Danio rerio: one gene and its partners. The protein of the gene in region 1 interacts with the protein of each later gene in a pairwise test. Links are inferred from orthologs where the notes say so. Each region holds a gene or a part of one and is shown in the gene's direction. Other genes may lie near its edges. The genes, in order: cib3, trim2a, enox2 and tacc3.

Evidence for each region.
Region 2: the proteins of cib3 (region 1) and trim2a interact in binary tests that used the Homo sapiens proteins (3 or more experiments, as listed by UniProt). The two-hybrid records come from large-scale screens. The link is inferred for Danio rerio from reciprocal best matches to the Homo sapiens genes CIB3 and TRIM2.
Region 3: the proteins of cib3 (region 1) and enox2 interact in binary tests that used the Homo sapiens proteins (3 or more experiments, as listed by UniProt). The two-hybrid records come from large-scale screens. The link is inferred for Danio rerio from reciprocal best matches to the Homo sapiens genes CIB3 and ENOX2.
Region 4: the proteins of cib3 (region 1) and tacc3 interact in binary tests that used the Homo sapiens proteins (3 or more experiments, as listed by UniProt). The two-hybrid records come from large-scale screens. The link is inferred for Danio rerio from reciprocal best matches to the Homo sapiens genes CIB3 and TACC3.

The regions. Positions count from the first base shown.
Region 1 is NC_133177.1:58,532,998-58,537,223, forward strand, and holds the start of cib3 (calcium and integrin-binding family member 3), read left to right. Parts: upstream 1-1,386; 5' UTR 1,387-2,333; coding exon 2,334-2,477; intron 2,478-4,226. UniProt on the Homo sapiens protein: Acts a an auxiliary subunit of the sensory mechanoelectrical transduction (MET) channel in hair cells. Plays a role in regulating hair cell MET channel localization and function.
Region 2 is NC_133176.1:26,945,803-26,949,370, reverse strand, and holds part of trim2a (tripartite motif-containing protein 2), read left to right. Parts: intron 1-1,497; coding exon 1,498-1,601; intron 1,602-1,742; coding exon 1,743-1,910; intron 1,911-2,420; coding exon 2,421-2,589; intron 2,590-3,288; coding exon 3,289-3,359; intron 3,360-3,568. UniProt on the Homo sapiens protein: UBE2D1-dependent E3 ubiquitin-protein ligase that mediates the ubiquitination of NEFL and of phosphorylated BCL2L11. Plays a neuroprotective function. May play a role in neuronal rapid ischemic tolerance.
Region 3 is NC_133189.1:27,720,613-27,724,180, forward strand, and holds part of enox2 (ecto-NOX disulfide-thiol exchanger 2), read left to right. Parts: intron 1-1,939; coding exon 1,940-2,046; intron 2,047-3,568. UniProt on the Homo sapiens protein: May be involved in cell growth. Probably acts as a terminal oxidase of plasma electron transport from cytosolic NAD(P)H via hydroquinones to acceptors at the cell surface.
Region 4 is NC_133188.1:39,351,335-39,355,670, reverse strand, and holds the start of tacc3 (transforming acidic coiled-coil-containing protein 3), read left to right. Parts: upstream 1-1,502; 5' UTR 1,503-1,619; intron 1,620-2,231; exon of another isoform or gene 2,232-2,349; intron 2,350-2,809; 5' UTR 2,810-2,810; coding exon 2,811-2,975; intron 2,976-3,353; coding exon 3,354-3,481; intron 3,482-4,050; coding exon 4,051-4,336. Other genes in the region: mfsd2aa (sodium-dependent lysophosphatidylcholine symporter 1-A), read right to left, coding at 1,058-1,117. UniProt on the Homo sapiens protein: Plays a role in the microtubule-dependent coupling of the nucleus and the centrosome. Involved in the processes that regulate centrosome-mediated interkinetic nuclear migration (INM) of neural progenitors.

The DNA.
Region 1 (4,226 bases):
ATGGCGTAACTGTAGCTGTATCCTATTTAGGCTACACAAAACAGAAACATGATTAAAATACATAAAACCATGATTTCAGAGTATTTGTACAAGTCGGGATTCGAACCCAAAACATCATGCTAAGCATAGAATCAATTAGCAAACCCACAGAGCTCTAAGCCATATGAGACAGAGATAATTTGGAGACCTTGGCAGTCAAATTAGGATTCGCCAGGTCTCGAAACGTTTCTAAGCTGATCGATGCTTTGAATCGCTTTAGTCACGTAACTAGGTGTTTCGAAACACTTTAGTCACGTGACTTGGGTGCTTCGGATCATGCTTCGGTGCAGTGATTCGAAACACTTGCGCTTCGAGATCTCGACACTGTGTCGAAACATCAGTTTCACGTCAGCCAACCCTAAGTGACTGTATCATCATCAATAACACTACCTGTTTAGCAAAAACGTTAAAAAAAACTTAATCTTACCAATGAAATGTTCTGCCTTTGTGCTTTGTTTTCTTTGTTTGCTCATTACTACACCCATAGACAGCGCTAAAGTCCCGCATCTTCACGTAATAACACTGTCTTGACTAGTGCGGTTGAATGACATTTGTCCTGGGAGCACTGTACCAATGTGAAAGCGCTATAAACACATGCTCAGGGTCCCTATGCGATATCTAGTGTATATATCTATGTCACAAATTGAGAAGCGGGGAAAGGAGGCGGGGTGGAGGGACAACACGGGGAATCCTTCACAAACTGAGGAGCGATCACAAACCGAAAGCGGCGAGAGCGTCAAAGTAGCCAGAAGTCATTCATTTTTTAATGAGAACCGTCTTCATTGGCTATGATGCAGTTCGGCGGCAAGCAATCAGAATGAAGTAGTCCACCGCTTGAGAGGAGTTCAGAGAACACAGACCTGTGAACTTTGGTTCCGACCACAGTTGTTCCCAAGAGTTTGATTATTGCGGTTCCTGGAATTTAAATTTTTGAAAATCGCGACGACGTGGGGCCCCCTAATCACGCGGGGCCCCCCCGTGGTGCGTGCCCTGCAGGTCCGTCCGCTACGCCACTCGGAGTAATACGGAAGAGTGAGAAGGCTGTACAAATGCTGTTATTGCAGAACATGGCATGGCTATCAGCCAATAAGATTTAAGAACCAGACAGAACTGTTGTATAAATGTGTGTGTGTGTGTGTATGTGTGTGTATATATATATATATATATATTTACATTTACATTTAGTCATTTAGCCGACGCTTTTATCCAAAGCGACTTACAAATGAGGACAAGGAAGCAATTTACACAATTATAAGAGCAACAATGAATAAGTGCTCTAGGCAAGTTTCAGGTCTGTAAAGTCTAAGGAAAGCATTAGTAATTTTTTTTTTTTTTTTTTTTGTGGTTAGTGGAGGAGTCTGAGAGGTAGTTGCATATTACTAAGGAAAGTAGAGACTAAATAGTTGAGTTTTTAGTCGCTTTTTGAAGACAGGGAGTAATTGTCGTTCTGATACAGTTAGGGAGTTCCTTCCACCAACTGGGCAGATTGAGCGCGAGCGTTCGGGAAAGTGATTTGTTCCCTCTTTATACTCTTCATTCACAGAACGTAAGTTTCTGGAGGGCACATAGATCTGCAGAAGTGAGAGCAGATAAGAAGGGGCGCAGCCAGAAATCGCTTTGTAAGCAAACATTAGTGCTTTGAATTTGATGCAATCAGCAACTGGCAGCCAGTGCAAACGAATGAGTAGCGGAGTGACATGTGCTCGTTTAGGTTCATTAAAGACCACTCGTGCTGCTGCGTTCTATATAAAGATATAATTTGTTTGTTTTATTGATTGACGATGTTTTCAATCTTTATTTTATATTTAGAACAAACTTTTTTAACTTTCACTATTGATTAATTTAATGCAAGCTTGCTAAATAAAAGTATTAATTTCTTACATTTAAAAAATGTACTAAAACCAGACATTTGAATGGTAGTTTAGCCTGCAAAATGCAAACAAAGAAACAAAAACTAAATTTAACAGAACATTTTTTATTTTTTGTGTCTGTAGATATTACAAGCAAGGTTTAACGGTCAAGATAATATCGAGGATCGATCTTCAAATAATTATGGTTAGCACTTACAGTCATGAACAAGCACAGATGCTCTGTTGGTCTGATTCTCTCATTGTGTATATGAGCGCTGAATATTATTGTACAGTGTATATTTGCAGTGTAACATGACGCTCGTCTCCCCTGCTCTCCACTTGCACTCCCCTTGACCGACGGGCCGCATTCACGCCGGCTAAATGATGAAATGCTGCCATTATTGGAGAACTAAAGGCCTCGCAGCGGCCGACACCTGATCCTCCATGTCTCACTGCAGCCTTTTGTGCCAGTTTTTCATATCTGAAATATCTGCAGGCATTCGGCTGCAGTGCACAGTCTGCCATGGCACTGCGAGAATGGGGAACAAGCAGACCATCTTCACATCCCAGCAGCTGGACGCATATCAGGTAAGTCTTGTCAGGGTTTTATAAATATATATATATATATATATATATATATATATATATATATATATATATATATATATATATATATATATATATATATATATACAGTTGAAGTATTATTAGGCCTCCTGAATATTATTTTTTCCCAATTTCAGTTTAATGAAGAGATTTTAACACATTTCTAATCATACTAGCTTTAATAACTCATTTTTAATAACTGATTTCTTTTATCTTTGCACATATTGTTTGACTAGATATTTCTCAAGATGCTAGTATTCAGCTTAAAGTGACATTTAAACTCTTAACTAGGTTAATCAGGGTAATTAGGCAAGTCATTGTATAACAGTGGTTAACATTGTATAATATTGCTTAAGGGGGCTAATAATATTGACCTTAATATGGGTTTAAAACAATTAAAAACTGCTTTTATTCTAACCAAAATAAAACAAATAAGATTTTCTCTAGAAGAAAAAATATTGTAGGAAACACTGAAAACTTTCTTGCTCTGTTTAACGTGGGAAATATTTAAAAAATGAAAATAAAATTCACAGAAGGGCGAATAAATTTGACTTTAACTGTATTTATTATTATATTTGGATATTGTTTTTAAGTTTGTTTTTAATGTAAAAGAGGTTTGTATAATGTAAAAGAGGCTCTTATTGTGTAAAACAGTCTCTTATGCTGCATTATAGGCTACTGTAAGAAATGCTAGTGTTTTTCCCATACTGATAAACTTCCGGTGACCTGTTATTGTGCATTTGTTTTTCCGTTTTATACGGTTCCTTTTACAGCATCAATGTTGTAATGTCATTAAAATACATTCAGTTAAATAAACTTTGACATTTATTTAGTTGCTCAAGCGTAAAACGAGACAAAAAGCCGTTTGCTCGCACACGCCAGTCAGAATCAGCAGGTTAGCGCTGAAGCTCCATTGAATATACTAGGGTAAAACAAATGCTCATATTATAAAGACATGGCGGGGAAAATGTAATTTAATGCAGCGCTTCTTGTACAATCTGAGAACCACTTTATATCAGATATCACTCAGCCAGAGGAGATCGCTGATTTTTAAAGAAAACTGACCTTAAATGTGCAGATTTTTGTATTGGCGTCGAGTTGACTGGAAGCGATTTACCCAGGTTACTGGCAAATTAAAAGTCCTATTAGCATGCTTCGGCATATACCCTATTAGTGCACTGTAAAAAAAAATGTAAATACCGTGGGAAAAAAATGGAAATGTTTTTTAAATAGTAATATAATAGTAATTTTCTACATTAATATATTTTATAATTAGTGATATAACGGATTACAAATCTCATGGTTCGGATCAAATACGGTTAATAGGTGCGTTCGACATGAAGCACGGCTGCAGCCAGTGATCTGCGAGATTAGCCGAGCGGGGGCGGAGTTGAAAACGGAGCTGTCAAGCCAGACAGCCGGACACTTCAAAGTTGCTGCAGTCATGATGAACGATCGCATGGCGTCATCATCATTTTTTTTTAGAACAAAAGACTTACAGTACAAATAAAACAGAAAACAGTCTCTACAAACTATAGTTCATTTTTAAACAATATGGGTATTATGAATTAAATATATAACAATCGCATGAGAGAAAAGGGAAGGGATAAAGGGAAGCAAGAGGGCAATATAAACATTAAAACGAACTGGGGCCTGTTTCAGTAAGGAGGTTCAAACAACTCTGAGTTTAAACTTGAACTCTGAGTTGATTTACCGAGAGATTAAAAACTC
Region 2 (3,568 bases), on another chromosome or scaffold:
ATTCGCTTTTAGGTATCTTTTGACAGTGGAAACAGCCATAAAAGTGTACTGAACCATATTATCCATATGGGCCATTAAAGGGATATTTCACTCAGCCTTTTGAATTTACGCATATTTAAGTGGTTCCAAACTTTGAGTTTCTTCTGTTGAACATTAAATCTATCTTGAAGAAAGCTGCAAACCTGTTACAACTGACTTCCATAACAGGAAAAACAAAACTATGGACAATAATGGTTACAGGTTTCCAAATTTCTTCAAAAAAAAATCTTCTGATTATTCTTAAAAATATATGTCAAACTGCTTTGGATCAAATAGAGGAGTAAACAACAAATATGATCATTTTGGGGTGAACTATACCTACTGTATACTCTAGTTCAAAGTCTTAAGACCAGGTGGAAAATGACAAGTATTCACATTTTGTTTCTGGTGGATCACAACAGGTTGTAATGCCAAAAGAAGAGCTTGAAGCACATGACAAAAAAACAGAGCAGGCAATGTCATTATCACTTTAACATTCATTTTGGCATGCTTTATTCAACAGTTTCCTGGAGGCAGTTGGGAACATTAATTCCATGTGGTGTAGATTGCTTCCCGAAAGGCATTCATGGTCTCGAACTGACAGACATTTTATGATAATAATTTTCAAAAGCATTTTACACAAAAACATACAAATATAAAACAGTTTAGAATAACAGTAAAATTGCATTATTTAAGATAAAACATTCAGAATGATAAAACATTAAAATATTTTAAAACATAAAACAAACCAGGAATGCACTCCTCATGAATAGGCGAGTGTAAAGTAGTGAGTTTTCAAGGATGATTTAAACAATTTAAAAGATTCAGCTAGTCTAATGTTATAAGGGAGAGAGTTCCAGAGACTCAGAGCCAGGGATGAGAAAGCCCGGTCACCCATAGAGTGCAGACGAGTGGAGTGGACTGTTAAAAGACCAGAGTCAGAGGAACGGCAGTCACGTGAAGGGGAGTACCATGATAGAAGTTCAAACTAAGTGGGGTGAGTGTGTGTGCTGCTTAAAAAGTGTGTGTGTCTTCCAAAACGAATGTGGAATGATCCGATTGGCTAGCTAATGATTAGCGATAGGGACCAGCTGCAGTCAATCCCATGACATGCACCTCTAGAAATTAGTTTGCAAAACTTCACTTATTATTGTGTTAAACTGGTCTATTGGTCTTAATAATTTGATCAGGAGTGTACATCTTGAAGGCCTGGTTTACACCTCATATTTAAGATTCTTTCATAATTGAGTCAGAAAATCAACTACTTTTCTCCCTTAGCTCACTTTCTTTGGTAATACATGTACATGGCAATTACTCTCAGATCTGCACCAAAACACTTGGTCCAAGATTGCATGAATGCTGAAAATTTGGGCTGAATATATTTGTTTTGTTTCTAATCATTTGAAACCTCAGTGGGGAATGTTTTGCATTTAATTTGCATTTAATGCTTATGTTAATAAAAAATATTTTGTCCCAAAGGAACAAAAGGCAGAAATAAGGGTGAATTTACCAATCTCCAGGGAGTTGCTGCTTCTTCTGTTGGCAAAGTCTTAATAGCGGATAGTAACAATCAGTGTGTTCAGGTATAAATTCCACACTTTAAAAATCTTTTTTTTTTTTTTTTGCTTGTTTTCTGTGGGTTGCTTAATGCCTGTTCAAATTACTGACATTTGTCATAGAAGAAATGATTCATTTAGTGTTGAATGTAAATTGTGTTCTTGCAGATATTTTCAAATGATGGCCAGTTTAAGAGTCGTTTCGGAATCAGAGGCCGATCACCGGGACAGCTTCAACGGCCTACTGGTGTTGCTGTGCACCCCAGTGGTGACATCATCATTGCTGACTATGACAACAAATGGGTCAGCATTTTTTCCAGTGATGGCAAGTTCAAGGTACAGTATACGCATCTGCTTAAGTTTTATTTTAAAAGTTGTAACAATTTATGTGATATTGTTTTTAAATTCAGATTCATTTGTTGTTACCAGATACTTGATAATATCAGTTACTTTTGGAATTGTTTTTAATACACATAAAAATGTTGTCCGTAAACTAATAGTTAACCCAAAATGAAAATGTACTCTTATTTACTTACTCTCTTGTGGTTCTAAATCTCTATCCATTTATTTTTCCTGTTAAACACAGGAAAACTTCAAGATATTTTGAAGAATGTTAGAAATCATTGACTTCCATAGCAGGAGAAACACAAATACGATGGAAGTCAATGGTTTCTAACAATTAAAAAAAATATATACATATAATTTTTTGTAGAGAAAAGAAACTCAAACACTTTTGTTACAAGTGAAGTGGGAGTAAATGATGACAGAATTTTTCAATTTTGGGTGAACTATCTCTTTAAAGCATGTAACATATTGATTTTTTTTTCTTTTGTGCCTTTTTTCTAGAGTAAAATTGGCTCAGGGAAGCTCATGGGTCCTAAGGGTGTATCGGTTGACAGAAATGGCCACATCATTGTGGTAGACAATAAATCTTGTTGCGTCTTCATTTTCCAGCCTAATGGAAAACTGGTCTCCAAGTTTGGCAACCGAGGCAACAGTGACAAGCAATTTGCAGGTGCTTGCTTTCATTACATATGGGGACTTAATGGATACAGCCTTCTTGTACAAGTTGTCATAAATAAATAAATAAGTGAATAGTCTCCCAAATTATAAGAAGTTAAAAGATTTTATATCTGAGCAGTCATAATTAAATATGATGTAGGAAAGAAATTTTGCTGTACTAACTTGTTTTTTACACTTCTATACTGTGTTCTATTAACATTAAAATATTACAGTCATTTATATTTACTAATATAAACAAGTATTTGATGTATATTTTACATACTGTATGTTACATATGCACACAAACAAAATGGTGTCTACAACTTTTGAGCTTGTCCACTTTACACCACTTTCAGAGTAAATACATTTGATCAGATTGCTTTCTTGATTTGATTTTGGTTATTTGATTTAATTTTGGTCACGTGGTTGAATCAAAGACGTGTTATGAATTTGGAATGCCACAACATCACAATGAGCCCTCCTGCAAAATTGGTGTAGAGTGTTTTGAAGTTAAGGTCACTAAAAATGCATTTAAACTGATGTTAATATCAGCTAGAAATGGTAATGCGTGATAAGAATAACTGCTTGTGATTGTCACTTACAATGCATGGTAATACCAGGCAGAAACAGGGTCAAAGTTGTAATTATGACAAAGTAATTTCTGGAAGCACATAAAAGGGCAAGCTAACACTTATTTCTTTCCTTTTTATAGGTCCTCACTTTGCAGCAGTGAATCAGAATAATGAAGTCATTGTGACCGATTTCCACAATCATTCTGTAAAGGTAAAATGTCTGTTCTGAAGTATATTGCCAATTTGTTAATATTTTAATCAAATGTCATGATATATTGCGCTGTGTCCACCAAAAAAAAAATTTTTTTTATTTTTTTTTATTTGGAAATGCCGAAAAATCAATTAGTTGACTTCAAATAATAGTAAAGCCCGATGCCCTAAAAATATATTGAGTAAAGTAAATTAACTATGTGGCCGATT
Region 3 (3,568 bases), on another chromosome or scaffold:
TATATATATATATATATATATATTGGAGTTTAATGGCAAAAAGCAACACGTAACGCTTTTGCATTGATTTGCTCACAATGTTATGTGTATTTGTCCTGTATTTGTCAAGAGACAGTATTTACATTAAAAATCAGATTTATTTAGTCATTCGGATGAGATGTTAAACCGAGGTCCTGACTCTCTGTGGTCATTAAAAATCCCTTGGCACTTCTCGCAAAAAGTAGGGGTGTAACTCCAGTGTCCCAAATTCCCTCCATCATCCCTTAAGATCATGGCCTCCCAATAACTCCCATCCACCGAATTCCACTGGTGCCGTTTTCCTGTGGCTGCCATAGCATCAACTAAGTGGATGCAGTGCACTGGTGGTGGTGTGGAGAGACCCTCTCTCATTATAGCGAAGCGCTTTGGATGTATGGCCATACACAATAAATACGCTATATAAATACACATTACTTACTTACTTACTTACAGCATTTTATTGAAACGCTTAATTTCAGTTTGCTATTAAACTATAAAAGACAAAAAGATCACGTTTAATTCATAATGACAGTCTTTGTTAAATGGATTCTCCCAAATGCTCCCCATCATTCTCTTTTCAGATGAGATGGTGGGCCAAATCAAAGCTTACCATGGGCTAGCTTTGGGCCTTCGACATCTCTGCTCTAAGTAGTGAAAATAAAATGTAGTTTTCCAAATGCAAATGTTATCTAATCATGCATCATAATTATTCGTTTTTTTACATATTTTAACGTGTGGTTTTATGAAAAGTACATTACCTTATGTTTAAATTGACACAGAAATGTAAAATTGACATATTTTAAGAGTGATATTATATTATTATAATAGTAATATTACAAATGAGACATGTTTTCAACATCAAATTGTTTAATATTGATGTTAAGTAGACATACATTAAGACATTTACGTAATATTACAAGTAGATGTTTACAAAATCCTTATGAATGTCCATATGAATCATGATCGGTGTTATGAACTTGAAAAATTTAAATGCAACACCAATGCAATTATTGAAATGCAAGTCAATATGTATTAACAGCACTTACAAATGTAGTTGTAACTATTATTGACATACAGTAGGTTTTATCGGTATAGGTTGTGTCTTTTTGGTAGATACATTTCTTGAATTGTTATGCTTGATTATTAATAAATTAGGTCATACTTTGTTTTGATGGTCCGTTTGCTGAATTTAAGTTACATTGCATCTCCATGCCAGCTAATTCTCATTAGATTATAAGTAGACTGTTAGGTTGGGGTTATGGTTACTGTAAGTTGACATGTACTTGCAAAGTTTTTTATAGTCAGTTAAATATCTGTTTAGCAACAAAATCAACATATATTAAGCAGACAGGTTACTAATACTCAAATGGGCCATAAAAATAAAGTGTTACCATAAATTAAAACAGAGTTGCAATTAATTATGAACATGGGCTTCTTAGAAAGTATTACAAATTTTCTTTCTTCCAAAGACCGCAAAAGGAGAATCATCCAACAGTTCAGAGACAAATAGTTCACCTTAAATTGAAAATGGTATAATTAACTAATCCTCATGTTGTTCCAAACTTGGAAAATTATCATCTGTAGAGAACAAAAGATGAAATTTGGGCCCCTAGTGTTGGTTAAACAAATACACAGCAGTCAAAGACATGCGGTAATTCATGGTTGGAACTAGATGAGGGTTAATTTTTGAGTGGACGACCTTTTTACCATAATTGTGATCTAATGCAGATCTCGTCCAGCTACAGTACACCACTCACCCCAGCTCAGTGTTTGTGCTGTTTAGAGGGGGGGTAGGGGGGAAAGAACATCACTTCCTTCCAACCTGACACAGATTTTTTCACTCCTCTGCACCTTCCCAATCGCCCCTCTCTCTCTTTCTTTCTTTGGACGCCCATACTGGCCCCTGCATCCCCTGCCACAGTTGAGCAGATTGTGTCTGTATTCCACGCTTCTTCCAAACAAAAGGCATGGGACCATTTCTCCAAAGCCCAGCGCAAGAACCTGGACATGTGGCGAAAGCAAGCAGAGGTTGGTGTTTTCATTTCTTTAAGTGAATGTGGTCATGCTTCACATCTTTTGAAATTAATTATGTAGAATGTTTCTGTTAGAGATTAGTCTTTTCCATTTCCTCTGCCCATTTCCCTTTCCCTGCAAGCTTCCCATGTGTACTTGAAGTATTTTGAAGTCCTCTTTATTTTTAGAAAATGTTTATGGTATGATAGTCTAAATGCTCAGCTTTCTCTACTAGTAAAATCTGTTCCGAGTCTGCCTGAGATTTCAGCGGTTCACAACTGGCAGGTAACAGTTTGTTTTGTTTGTTTTTTTTTTTATCCCTGGTAGAAACAATAGAAATATGAATTTCTCCACAATCTCATTGGTGCTGCAAAAACTAATATAAAAGGAATAAAAGGAACATAATTATTTAAACAAAAAGCTTAAAATGGTCATTATAAGCCATTATAAGCCAATTCATTAAAACAATCCACAATTTTTCTTGTTTATAATGGCCCAATCTGGTGTATAATTAGCGGCTTAATTTCTATTGGTAGCAACATAAAAACACTATTTAACATGGAACAGAAGGTTGATTTTGTTTATACTTGATATGACTGAAAGCTTTCCTCAGCAAGTGGTGTGAGCAGGACAGGATTGTACATGTGTATTTAAAGCAATTTGGAAGTAATACAAAAATAATAATTATAAATTCTAAATTAAATTATCGCTAACATTACTCTATTTTAACGATCTTGGCGCAAAGTTCAAAGCATTAAGAGCGTGTCCGAATCCACGTTTGCTATTTAAAGGATGGAAAAACCTGCTTTGTGCCATGGCACATGGTCTAACAGGGTTGAGCTTATTCTTTTAATGACTTATAGGTGTGTTTTGATAATAAACCAATCAGAGTCTCATCTCCCATTCCCTTTAAGAGTCAGTTGCGTCACACCAAAGAGCATTTGAGTCTATTAAGCAGTCTATTTCAGATCCTCAAAATAGCAACCCGCCAGTAATGCACCTTAACACACCTCAATTTTTAGACCAGAACGCCTATGGGCGCTCAAATGAGTGCAAATACATTTAATATTTAAACAGCATGGTGCAACACGTCAAAATTACACTTGCATCAAGCTGAGACTATCAAACAACATTTGTGTCATACCTTGCGCCAGGTGTATGATAGGGCCCTTCATTTTGATGGTCTGTTTGAGTATTAGTAGACTGTCTGCTGGGTAGTAGTGGGTAGTCTTGAACTTCAGTGTGTGTTTGAGCAAGCAAGGTAAAAATCACGCAAGAAAAAAAAATATGTGTGTCTCCGAATTCTGCTATAGAAAAGTGAAGCTAAGATGTTGCATGTACGGTTGAAGTCAGAATTATTAGCCCCCTTTTTATTTATATATTTTTGTTTTTTTATATTTCTTGAATGATGTTTAACAAAGCAAGGAAATTTTCACAGTATGTCTGATAATATTTTTTTCTTCTGGAGAAAGTCTTATTTGTTGTATTTTGGCTAGAATAAAAGCAGTTTTAAATTTTTTTAAATCCATTTTAAGGT
Region 4 (4,336 bases), on another chromosome or scaffold:
GTAAAAGGTTTTAACAGAAGGGAATTAAATCACTGCTTGATTCGGAAAATTCAGAATAAAAATCAACAAATTGGGTATAAACCTCTGTAAACATTTTATCTATATATGAATTTTATTACTTTCTATATTTATTAATATCGATAAGAACAAATCTGTATAAATCTGGAGTCCAAAAGTGATTAAAAATCATTCTGAGAAAAATTTGTATTGTAATTGAAATCTATGGAAACACTATAAACTTTTAAACGTGTTTTTTTTACGTTTAAATTTAAAAATTTCTCAAAATTGACAGGTACATCAAATGTATGCTTTTGCTTGCCATGACTGCTGGTAATGATTAAAAAAATGGGTAATTAAAGCTAGGTAAATCATAAAAAAAAGTTATTGTACCCACTATACTTTTTAAAAAGATAATTATGTTCATAATAATGCACAAAAACAGCAATAAACATATATATTTCAAGGCGTTTTACCAAATTCATGGTAAATGGTTTTTACCTTGTGAAAGAAATTTTGAGGATTCTTTTTTAAAATCACCACTTAATTCTAAAAAAATCACTTTTTGTAGAAGAAAATGGAGTATTTGTGATCAAACTAATTATGCATAAGCATGTGCCTCTGCAATCTTTTACCTTTATATTAATATTATTATTTTCTGTATGTATTAGCTTAGAAACTAATAAAACTGTAAAAACTTGCGTCCGTAAATGATGCTGAAGTGATTTTTGCATGACAAAAATATATTGAAATAAATATGCATTGTAATTGAAATCTATACAAACAATTTCTTTACAATACATTTTTTTAAATTCAAAACAACAAGTACATTGTCATTTAAATGACAAGTATATCACATGCATGTATTGCCATGTCTGATGGTAATAATAAAAAATAGTTATTATTAAAGCTTAAAAAAATGCATCAACAACAAAATGATTTAATGTATGCGTTGATTAACAGCAAATATATTATCAAAAACTAAAATTATAAAAGACAATTATGTCCATAACATGCACTGTTATTGCAATATGAAACGAAATTCATATTTAATACATACCCTGTTGCAAAGCTTGTCGTCACGTTCATTGTATGGAGAAAACATACAGTGAAAGTACATTGTGGTTCAAAACATCACTCTTCCCTGATAACTTTCCATTTTCAAGACAACTCAAAACTAAAGTATCATCTTCAGTACAGCGAAACACTGTAAACGAAAACAAAACAGTTATATCTAATATCTAAGCTACAACAACAGCAGTAGTTTACACTGTCAAATCTACACTTGTTTTCAACAAGTAAAAGGGTTAAATGAGGTTATTTATCTTCATAAACCGTCTGCGTCAACGGCTTACCCTATTGGCTGGTTTGGATGTCTGTCAAATGTATATCCTGTACAAAAGCGCAGATTGACGTGCGATGCTATTGGTCGATTCGTATAATCGCCCCGCCTGACGAGAGTTGATTCTTGCATTTAATTGGCTGAGAGTGCGCCGTTTAAATTTGAACCGTTTCAAACGGGGAAAGTTATAAATGCAACAACAACATCTCTATGCTGTGTGTCGAGCTGACTGTCTCTGCGAAGAAAACGGTTTTTATTAGATTTGAGCAGTTTGAATAAGGTACGTATTTTAGAAAACCGCCCCCGAGCCACGTTTATAGGATTGTAAGTTATTAATGCGCGATATGAAACCATAAAGGTAACTTAATCGCTTTGACTTTTTTGCTACGTGAGTGTTGCCAGAACGTCGAACATTCTGATGTAACGTTAACTTAATCCTGTTATTTTAAGATTGCGATAAGTGATTGTTAGCTATCCTTTATGTAACGTTAGAGATTTTTTTTCTGTTATAGTTAAATTTCTAAAGTTCGTATGGAAAGGGCATAAAAATGTAGAATTAACATTAAGTATGACGTTACGTGTAACTTATTGATTTTGAGCACTGTTGGAGATAACGTTAATTTATTTGCATTAAAAACTTTTTTTTAAATAAATAACAAATTCTATATTTATTTATTCATTCATGTATTCAATGTTGTTTTGTCATCCACGTGGGTATGTGAGCTGTTAGGCTAAATTCTGTCTTGCACTCAATTCTCTGGCTGTGCTAAACGTTATGTGGTTTATTTATATTTTTCCACTGAAGTGAGGGATTGATCTGATATCTCACTTTTGTTCAGGTTAAAATGTGATCATTTGATTTATGATAGTGAGCTGTTTATCACCTGTCCAGGTAAGCTGTAGGAGAGAGAAGCTGTCAGAAGTACCTGTCAAATACAAAGCTGACAATCATATTGTCAGGCCTACATAGTTGAGCAGAATCCAGGCAAGAACAGATAAGGCCAGAAGTGGTAATGATTTTGTTTTTTGATTTTGTTTGTCAATCTCTTCCTTGTTCCTACTTATTCTCACAAAAAAATCACAGTATCAGGGGATTGGCATAGTGTTTGATCATGATATATATATATATATATATATATATATATATATATATATATATATATATATATATATATATATATATATATATATATATATTTTTTTTTTTTTCTTTTCTTTTTTTTTTCACTAAAAAGAAGCACTTTGTTCCCTCAGCACAAGGCTAAATTGTCACTGGTTTGGGTTATTAGTCACAGTGGGTTAGTCTGAAAGGAGATGCAACAGATTTGAAGTGTCTCAGGACTAGGGTCTCTGGGTGTTGGGTCAGATGCCCGCCTCCGGGTCTTATCAGCAAAAGCAGCTGTTTATGGTGCCTGCTGGGCGTGACTTTCCAAAACCCATGTTGTCATTTTCTGTGTCTCTGTTTTACAGTATGAGTTCTGACGCGCTGAAGGAGAATCAGGGAGCTGTACGGATGAACAGCAATTCTGAATTCGCTTGTGACATTTTCATGTTGGATCAGCCGACTGGCAGACCCTCGATTTTGCGGCAGTCGCAGGCTGACAACATTAACAGGACTGCTCCTAGAGCAGCAAAGGTGGGCTTGACAAATTTCCATGCAGTATTTTTTCTGTACTGTATAATGTGTAATAAAATCACTGGTTATAAACCAAGTGTTTTCCATTTTAAAAAGTAACTTGTTCCTTTGACTGTAAATTTACCTTTTCTATAGACACTTTCTTTAGTGTCATATGAGCACATCTGAGTGACTTTTCAAGAAACAAAAACACTTATGAATGGCAGGTCGATTTTGTTGAAGCCATGCTACATTTTATTTTGGATTCTTTAATATTCACAAATGCAGTATTTATTTGTACTATTATAAATTTTATTTTGCATGTAATAATTGAACCCTTTCTTGGCCTTGTACTACAGCTTAGACTAACCTGCACGTTACTTAATTTCTCTTATATAGGTTTGTTTTCAAACCCCACGGCGAGATCCAGTGACAAAGAAGATCATGTCTCCAAGCCGCACCAGTAGGCCGATCAGCCAGGATGATCACAAAAATGCACTAGAGACTCTCACAGGCCTTTCTGACCAGTGAGTAAATTACCTGCATCTCCAATTGTTCAGGACTGTTGATGACCATTTGTGTATTTGGTGTACCTTTTATTTATATTAATTTCCACCAAAGGCACTTCTTCGAACAGACCCAGAGACTTCTGGTGTAAAATGATGGGTAAAACATAATGATCCTGTTTCCAAATAATATTAACATGGGTTTTCAAAAATTTTGTCTGAAAGCTGTAAACTTGCTTGGGATGTATTCACGGTGAAAGGACATATTTCTTTCAAATCTTTCACAATATAATGATTCAACTTTATAATTGAATCCACATATCATGTTTGACCTGTGGTGCATGCTCAAATAGGATTCCTATTTGACATTACTTTTTCTTCTTGACTATTGTTGATGCCCACATTGCAAAACAATATTTCAGTGCTAAAACAATATTTTGTCAACTTTAATGTACCACTCTAATAGTACAAGGTATTCATAAGAAAACTAGGTTAAAGATTAATTTTTAAAATATTTTTATGTAAGCCTCTTAACCTGTTTTTAATGGACAAATATGCTAACGTGTAAAACCTCCTTTTGTGTTTTTCAGGAGTTCATTGATGAATAACACTCACACCACACCAATTGACATAGAATGTAACAGTGTTGCTTTACCTGATGATGACATGCCTGTTCAGAGCAGAGGGGCCTATTCCTTTGATCTTGACAATATTGATGCCATCAACCCTTTCCAGGGCTCCAATAAAATGGCGAATTCCCCACCTAAATCTTCTGCTTTTACGGAGGCGGCAACATCAGAGCTTGTAGAGTCTAACACAACCATAGCCCCTGTTTCTGCACCCCAGGTAGAGGTAGAGACAGAGGCAGAAGTGACT